2 linked regions of the Canis lupus familiaris genome follow. The protein of the gene in region 2 binds, or shares a complex with, the protein of the main gene of each other region. Links are inferred from orthologs where the notes say so. Each region holds a gene or a part of one and is shown on either strand. Other genes may lie near its edges.

The links.
Region 1: the proteins of BBS7 (region 2) and ARL6 are in contact, whole or in part, in a cryo-EM structure (PDB 6VBV), measured with the Bos taurus proteins. The link is inferred for Canis lupus familiaris from reciprocal best matches to the Homo sapiens genes BBS7 and ARL6. Residues at the interface, in NP_001178275.2 of Bos taurus: Leu3, Ile249, Val250, Gly251, Asp300, Gly301, Tyr302, Asp303, Thr319, Glu320, Pro321, His323, Lys324, Glu325, Ser326, Gly327, Pro328; in NP_001069250.1 of Bos taurus: Met132, Asp133, Arg135, Thr139, Ser140, Val141, Ser144, Trp157, His158, Ile159, Cys160, Ala161, Asp163, Lys166.

Annotation. Positions count from the first base shown.
Region 1 is NC_049254.1:5,117,640-5,122,033, reverse strand, and holds the start of ARL6 (ADP-ribosylation factor-like protein 6), read right to left. Parts: upstream 3,069-4,394; 5' UTR 2,870-3,068; intron 2,441-2,869; 5' UTR 2,251-2,440; intron 65-2,250; 5' UTR 38-64; coding exon 1-37. UniProt on the Homo sapiens protein: Involved in membrane protein trafficking at the base of the ciliary organelle. Mediates recruitment onto plasma membrane of the BBSome complex which would constitute a coat complex required for sorting of specific membrane proteins to the primary cilia.
Region 2 is NC_049240.1:19,117,170-19,120,987, forward strand, and holds part of BBS7 (Bardet-Biedl syndrome 7 protein), read left to right. Parts: intron 1-633; coding exon 634-820; intron 821-2,822; coding exon 2,823-2,895; intron 2,896-3,282; coding exon 3,283-3,399; intron 3,400-3,818.

The sequences.
Region 1 (4,394 bases), on a different chromosome or scaffold from region 2:
GGCCAAGCAAGCCTGAAAGTCTGTCTAGCAATCCCATAATGTGATTCAAATATTTCCAAACCAGCTGCAAGTCAGAAAGTAAAAGAGACGTATCAATAACAGGCAGCTTAGGTATGGAAAATATGAACCTGTGCATCAAAAACTTTAATAATTTAAAGACACAATGATAAAAACCATGTCAATGTAGCTCTGGATTTAGTAAATAAAATTTAAGCTGATTAGCACAAAGGAGTCTTATTTGAAATGCAGATTGGCAGCTTATAACCCTAGGCAACACACAGAATAATGCCCTGGAAATAAGTGTATATTTCTTCTAGTAAATTATAATATTTAAGAAGAAAATGTGGTGAAACTCAGTATTATGTGGAATTGGCCACTTGTAATCTTGGAAACATCTGCTGCCTCTTCTGGAAATTTGGTAGAATCTATGGGCAAATGAGTTCATATAGAGCCTAATGCTGAAGCTTAGAAGGTAGAAGGCAGATCAAAAAAGAGAAAAACAGGTTTCGGCTACATTATTTGAGCCAGTAGCTAAATCTTTCTCTGAAGCCAGCCCCAGTTTTGTATGCATTAATCTGAAGTCATAACAATAAAATTAAATTTTTTTGTTTGATTATATACAGTTTACATTGTATCTTCTATCAAGTGGAATAACAGATATACTTACTTTAATATATAATATATTGCTAGACATATATTGCTAGACATACTGCTTGTTCATAACCTGCTATGAATTCTCAAAATGAAACTTTCCAAAGGTGCTCCCCTTGGGTCCATTAATACATTATCTTGGGAGAAGAGAGCTATCTCTGGTGCCAGCCTTCAACTGCTGCAAGGATTGCTATAGCAGTAACTATAATCTGTGTCCTAAATGTTACCTATTACTCTCCCAACCATCGTTTTCAAAGTTCTCTAAATATTCATCTCATTTAAGTGATTTATTCTCATCTCCATCTAAGGTTCAAAAAGCTTATCATCCCCTCAACTCCTTCGGTATTTTTTATCCCACACTATCCTAGGCAAGGCCATACCCTGAAGGATGTGAGGCTGCAACAATTTAAATGAGAGGTTTCCAAGACAACTGCATCCAAAAGGAGGCTTCATTGATTTTGCTTAGGCCCCTTGAGAGATCATACTGACAGGAATTTCAAAACCAAATTCCAATGATGTGTAGAAAGGAGCAGAAACAGTGCCCCACCAGAACATGGAGCCTACAAGAGAGCCACAGTTATCTTATCCAAGGGATGAGTTTGATCTCAGATTACACCATTTGTGCCACTTTTTTCCTCATTTGGAGATTCAAATCTCACTCCATCCATTCCTTTAAGTCTCAGCTTAAGGAGCATTTGCAGAATCTACTTTAAGTTCGCCTTCTGACATCATGAATAATTCAAAGTCGATTTTCTATCAGTCACTTTGTTATTTATTGTACTAAACATATTAAGACAATTATCTTGTTTTCCATCTTCCATACAATTTTGAACAGATTCAAAAAAAAGATATGACCACTTCTCACATCATCATGCTCTGGGCATCCACTATAAAGCCTCAACTGTCAAAAACTTGATACTTGAATATTCCTTATCCATAGAACCCTGGATTGTGATTTTCCAACCCTTTTTCATAGATTATCAGAACTAATACTAGCTAATGAAATATTTTGGGACGTACAATGTAGAAGTCAGTTGTTCTAAAATATGTAATCATAGCCTTATACATATATGTCTCTATTTCTTAGCAATCATACGTTTCTGTAAGTTTACTTTTTCCACGTAGGAAAGCAGGACAGATAATTTACTGACCGTGCCCTATGTGCACAGTGGGAGATGAAGCCTCCTGTAGCTTGCTATGCCTAAAAGCCATGATTCTCAACTCTGGCTGCACACTGGAATCAACTACTGAATTCGTATTTCTGACGATGGCATTAGGGTACCAGTATATTAAAAAGCTACACAGAAGGGACGCCTGGGTGGCTCGTGAGTTGAGTGTCTGCCTTCGGCACAGGATGCGACCCCAGGGTCCGGGGATCGAGTCCCACATGGGTCTCCCGGCAGGAGCCTGCTTCTCCCTCAGCCTGTGTCTCTCAGGAATAAATAAATAAAAACATCTAAAAAGTCAAAAAGCCACACAGTGTTTCTGATGTACGGTGACTAGTGAGAACTACTGGCTTTCAGAGTAAAGCCGGAGCTTCCGGGCGTGGCTTTTAAGGCTCCCTCTGTCTGGCTCTGAGGTACTTTTCCAGTTTCTTACCTTACTGCTTTGCCGCGCACCAGCCAACCAAATTCCCTTGGCTGTTATGTGGGAAACCTCTTTCTAAAGGATTACTTGTTGCCAGAAGAGTCTCGAAGTATTAGGATGTTCATCCACAGCGGAGCTTGGAAGGTGGTTAAGTCGCAGACGGGGACGGGGCAGAGAAACACCACGAATGGTACTTTGTCAACTTTAAAAAAAAAAAAAAAAAAAGAGAATGTTCCTAGAGTGAATTGAGGCACACTTTCAGCGCTCCAAACATTTGTATTCGGCTTTCGGTTTTTGGAGATGGACTTTCTTTCTTTCTTTCTTTTTTTAAGATCTTATTTATTTATTCCTGAGAGACACGGAGAGGCAGAGGCAGAGACCCAGGCCGAGGGAGCGGCCGGCCGGGCCCGGATCCCCTGAGCGCCGGCGTCCACGGCATTTCCCACACCCTGAAGCGGGCGGTGTCAAAGCCGACCGAACCGCCCGCCCAAACCGTCTCCCTCCTGGATGCCTGGTCCTGACCGCACACGCCGCCTCAACTTGTCCACCTTTTACACTTTACAAACAACGGTTCGGAGTGAAAAATCCTAGGATGTGGCGGCGGGCGCGCCGGGGGGGCGGGGGGCGGTACCTGGTCCTCGGAGTCGGCCTGGGCCCGGGCCGCTCGGCCGTCCGTCCCGGGAGAAGTCTCGGGCGCCTCTCGGCCTTCCTCCCTACGCCTCCATCGCACGGAGCCCGGCCCGGGCACAGCCGCCGCCACCAGCTGAGGCGACCGCAGCGCGCGCCTCAGCCCGAGCAGCCGCCGGGCCGGCGCCCGGGTGCGCGGCGTTCCCCTGGCAACAGGACGTGCTTCCGGTTCCGAGGCCACGCCCCCCGGGTCCCGGGGAGCCGGGCCTGGCGCCCCTGGTTATGGGGCCGAAGGGCCCCGGGAAATGGCAGAGGCGCAGCGACGAGCATTAGAGAAGGTGTGGAGGTCGGGGGCGGGAGGACCGCCGCCGCCCGCGAGGAGCCGCGCGGCCCGGACGGCGCCTGACGGCAGCTGTAGGCGTGCGCACAGCCTGCCGGGAAGCGCCTGGCGGCGCGGCCGCGGCGCGCTCCCGTCCGGCCGCGTCTCCCCGCCCGGTCGGGCGATGCCGCCGCGGAACCTGCTGTGGCCTCCGTGGCCAGGCGCGCGCCGGGCGTTCTGGGTTCCCGAGGCCTCCGAGCCTGCAGGCGCGCCGCGGAGGGAGCCCCGCGGAGGGGAGGGCGGCGGGGGAGGCCGGACGGGGGGAGCCCCGACGGGGAGGCCGGACAGAGGAGGCCCTACCTACGGCAGGCCGGACGGGGAGGCCCGACGGGGAGGCCGGACTGGGGGAGGCCAGAGGAAGGCCTGACGGGGGAGGCCCGACGGGGGGAGGCCAGACGGGGAGGCCGGACAGAGGAGGCCCTACGGCAGGCCGGACGGGGAGGCCCGACGGGGGAGGCCCGGAAAGTGGAGGCCCGAGGCCTCACCCTGGCTCCTTGGCTGTCCCGCCTCCTCGGGATGGGCTCGCTGGCCCCGGAAAGCAAGGGGGCCGCCTCGTGTGGGCCGCCTCTTAAACCTGCCCTGGAATTACAGTGACGGGGTTACTCGGTGAAAATATTTAGGTACACGCAGCTCTCCGCCCTGTTAGAGCCACGCTTCCCAAAGGACCCACCAAGGTCGGGAGGAGTCAATTTACGGAACCTGCGACCTACCTAGCCTCACCTCCAACCCCCCCCACCCCAATGAATGGTTCAGCCTCACCTCCCAACCCGCACCCCAATGAATGGTTTTGGAGATTGAAGCCCTTCCTCAGACACATTTTCTCTCTAGTTTCCTCTTAGGCCCTGAGTATGGGGCTTTCCCCTACCCCCCCCCCCTCCCCTACCCTAGTTAGTGTCACCTTTACCCCTCTGCCCCATCTTTGGCCTACTAATTAATTTTACCTATTAAGCAGAGTGGGAGGGTGAAAAGAGATGAGAAAAATTATATGAAATTCATGATGGGGGTGTTTATGTGAATGATTACACGGTGCCGTTTGGCTCAATTTCTAAATGCAGATGTGGTTGTTTTACAATGAAAAAATGTGGTTCTGGAGAGTGGCTCTTGAAAGGCTAAAACTAACAACAAAAGCCCAATAGTGGTATATTCCAAA
Region 2 (3,818 bases):
TGTGCCATTAGGCAGGTTACTTGACATTTTAGTGTTCTCTGTAAAAAGGGATAATAATGGTCCCTAGTTGACAGAATTATGAAGATTAAGCTAATACATGTAATACATGTAAATCCATTAGGACAGTGCTTGGCACATAGTGCACATTCAGAAAAAGTTGCTTTTTGACATTTTGTTTTTCAAGAATAAATCAAGTGGTTTTATTTATTTTTTTATATAAATTTATTTTTTATTGGTTTTCAATTTTCCAACATCTAGAATAACACCCAGTGCTCTTCCCATCAAGTGCCCCTCTCAGTACCCATCACCCAGTCACCCCCACCCCCGGTTTTTTGACATATTAATTGTCTTCAGATACAGACAATTATCATGGTCTTTGTTTTCAGTTTTACAGAGCATAATTTTTGAGATGCCTAAGGACTTAAGATCCTAATTTTCAGCTTTTTAAAATCCGTGTTATATCAAAAGGCTACAAATTAAGTGGGGGAAATGAGGGGAAAAAACTATTCTTTAAGTCTGTGATAAAATGATAGGAATTAAGTAAACTTTTGTTTTCATCTCAAAAGAATTCAGGAATTTCCTATATTTCTTTTTGGAAATATGGATGTTTTAAATTACTTTTAATGTTCTCAGGTATATATCTGGCTCAGACCTCTTTCTCAGTGCAAGTTACATCTATAACCATTATTGTGATTGCAAAGACCAACATTATTACCTTTCTGGGGACAAAATCAATGATGTCATCTGCCTTCCAGTGGAAAGATTACCTCGTATTACACCGATATTGGCCTGCCAGGACAGAGTGCTCAGAGTTTTACAGGTTTCTGTTATTTGCATTTTTATAGTTTTTCATAATTTATGTAAATGAATATAGCTGAACAATGTGTACTTGAGATAGATTACTTACTACCGCTTTAAATGTCCTACTTAAAATTATATTTGTAAAAAATACTTTTTAATTGGTAAGCTAATTTTTTTTTTTTTTTAGCTTGAGACAAATGTATTGAGAATTTTGGCAAATTTTTAGAGAGGCATATTTGGGAAAAAGGATGCTTTTCTGTCCCCATGCATAATTTCTGAGTTAGTTCAGTCAGAATGGAGTCTTTGCTACAAAGGACACTTCTCACCTTTTTTTTTTTTTTTTTTTTCTTTCTTTCTTCTTCCATTACTCTTTCCTCTCCCCAAAATCAAACTAATGGAGAAAATTGGTTTGGGGAGAGGATGTTAGGTTTTAACAAAGAAGGGATAGTTGTGATCAGAGTTGTATCATTTGCACTTATTCCACATTAATGACAGTTCTGGAACAGAATAAGCACTCAGTAAATATTAGAGAAGTAAATGAATGATAGAGGGAAAAATTTTATCATCCTTACATTTCTATTAAAAACATGATTGTTTAAAACAACTGCATAAGACATTGTTATTAGTAATAATAGTTACAACTATGTCTTCTCAAAAGTGACTTTCAGTAAAATACACATACATACACATGCCAGGATCCATAAAATAAAGTTTATGCAAATAAACTACACATGCAAATAATCTAGAACGGATAGATTATTTGGGTCAGAAAGTTGGACTAATATTGGTACAGTTGAACAAAACATCTACCACTTTATTCTTTGCCATCACTAACTTTCTCACTCTGGAATTTCATAACTAGATGGCCATTTCTTGACATCAGTTCTTTAAATGGAAGGGAAAATCCAGTAATTCTGTGAGGTTTTTTTTTTTTTTTTCTATGGGAAAACAAAGTTGACATTCAAGGTTCATTCTAGGGGCCTGAATAATTAGTTTCTTCCATTGTCTGTACTCCCAAATATGAGTTGTCTGAATAAGGCTTTTAACAGGAACTGGGTAATATTCAATTAGGAATTAGTCTGGCTGATTCTAGGATTCTGCTTTGTTTAACAAGAAGAGATGGATGTGCTTACTGTAAAATTTAAAAAAAAATCACTAAGGATTTGTGGGAACTTAAAACTTTGCCTTGCTAGTCACATATTCCTACTCTCCATCGACTCCCCATTTGTAAGCAATCATTACCCCAGAGGTAGCCTTTTTAAAAAGTTTTTATGTGTATTTTTTGTGTTTATATAGTTGATATGTATGAATTTTCAGGTGTAATTTTAAATAAAAAAATAAAGTATGACTTTAACATGTTCTATATAAATTTAATTTTTTAAGAAAAATATCATTCCATATTTACTATAATTTCATGGGTTTCTTTGTTGAATGATCTATCGTGGATATTTTTTCCACTTGAGTATGAGTACTTCTACCTCATTCTTTAGCAGCTTCACAAATTATGTATACTAAATGAAAATATTACAAGTGGCAAAATTTTTAAAAAGACAAATAAATGGGCGTAATTTGTTTTCCTGTCTAAATAACTGGCTCTCATTGGAGTTGGTCTTGGAAATATCCAAATGCAGGACCAACCTTCTCCTTTAGGAAGTAACTTTGGATCTGTTTAAATGTTTGAATGTGTTCTAAGTTAAACTGGACAAAAGAAACAACTTGTTCCAGGAAAGCTTTGATAGTAAAATTTACCAGTGTTAAGTTTTCAGGCAAAGTATTTAAAATGAAAATTATTTGAAGTGTAGAATATTATATGTATTTCTTCTTGATCTTTACATTTTATATGTATTTTAAAACGAGTTAACATACACAAAATAGCTAACAAATTCAAGTTAATCACAATCTAACTTTTTCTGGCAGTTTTTATTCTACAGTTCTTTATATGAATATTGATGTTTATCTATTAGTGTCAATGTTTTAAATTTGTATTCTGTTTCAGTTTTAAAATACTTGTTCTCCTTCAGGGGTCTGATGTGATGTATGAAACTGAAGTGCCTGGCCCACCTACTGTCTTAGCACTACATAACGGAAATGGCGGTAATGATAATCAAGGGAGTGTATTGTGTTAGGTCTAGATATTTCAGGTTTAATCATTTAACTATAAATAAAGTGAATGAAAATAGGAATTGTAGAAAGAGCATGAACTAGAATTAAGACAGTTTTCGGGTAACTTGCCAGTAACTAACAGTAATGAATTATTGAACTTTAATTTTCAGTTTCCTCATCTTAAAATTAGATGATGAGGAAGGGTCTTATCCCTTATATTTATAAAATTCTGTGACTATGTAACCAACTTCCAAATTAAGTGTCTGACTTTTTATATTTTTTAAATGAGATTTTTATGTGATATTAAAAAAAATTTCAGCTATAAAGAGATTATGAGTCATGGAATAAATATAATATGTTGACTTTAATTATAATCAGGAGACTCTGGAGAAGAACTTTTGTTTGGAACATCAGATGGAAAACTTGGGCTTATTCAGATCACTACCTCCAAACCAATACACAAGTGGGAAATTCAAAATGAGAAAAAGCGGGGAGGTAGGTTCGTGATATAGATTCTGAAATTTCATTGATTATTAAATACCTAAATTATATAGTTCATTCTGTTTAATTTTTCATAGTACGTAGTAGACTTAGTAATTCACAAAGCCACCTTATTATTTATTTATCAGGTCTGTCATATTTTGGCATAATCTTTAATTAAGAAATGCTAATAGTAATTTAGGATAGATAGGCTTTTATGGGCTATTGTCCATCTATAACATCATTCTGTGGTCGAATCCATTATTCACTGTTTGGTGTAGGATATTCATTGGAATTTGAGAGTATTCGATATGAAGCAAGGAGAAAGTCCGACAGGTCTTTTCTGTTCAACGGGAATATTTGTTTCCTAAGGAATTTATAACTTTCTGAGGGAATTTATATCTGACTTAGAAGTTAGTAAGATGGCTATTTAT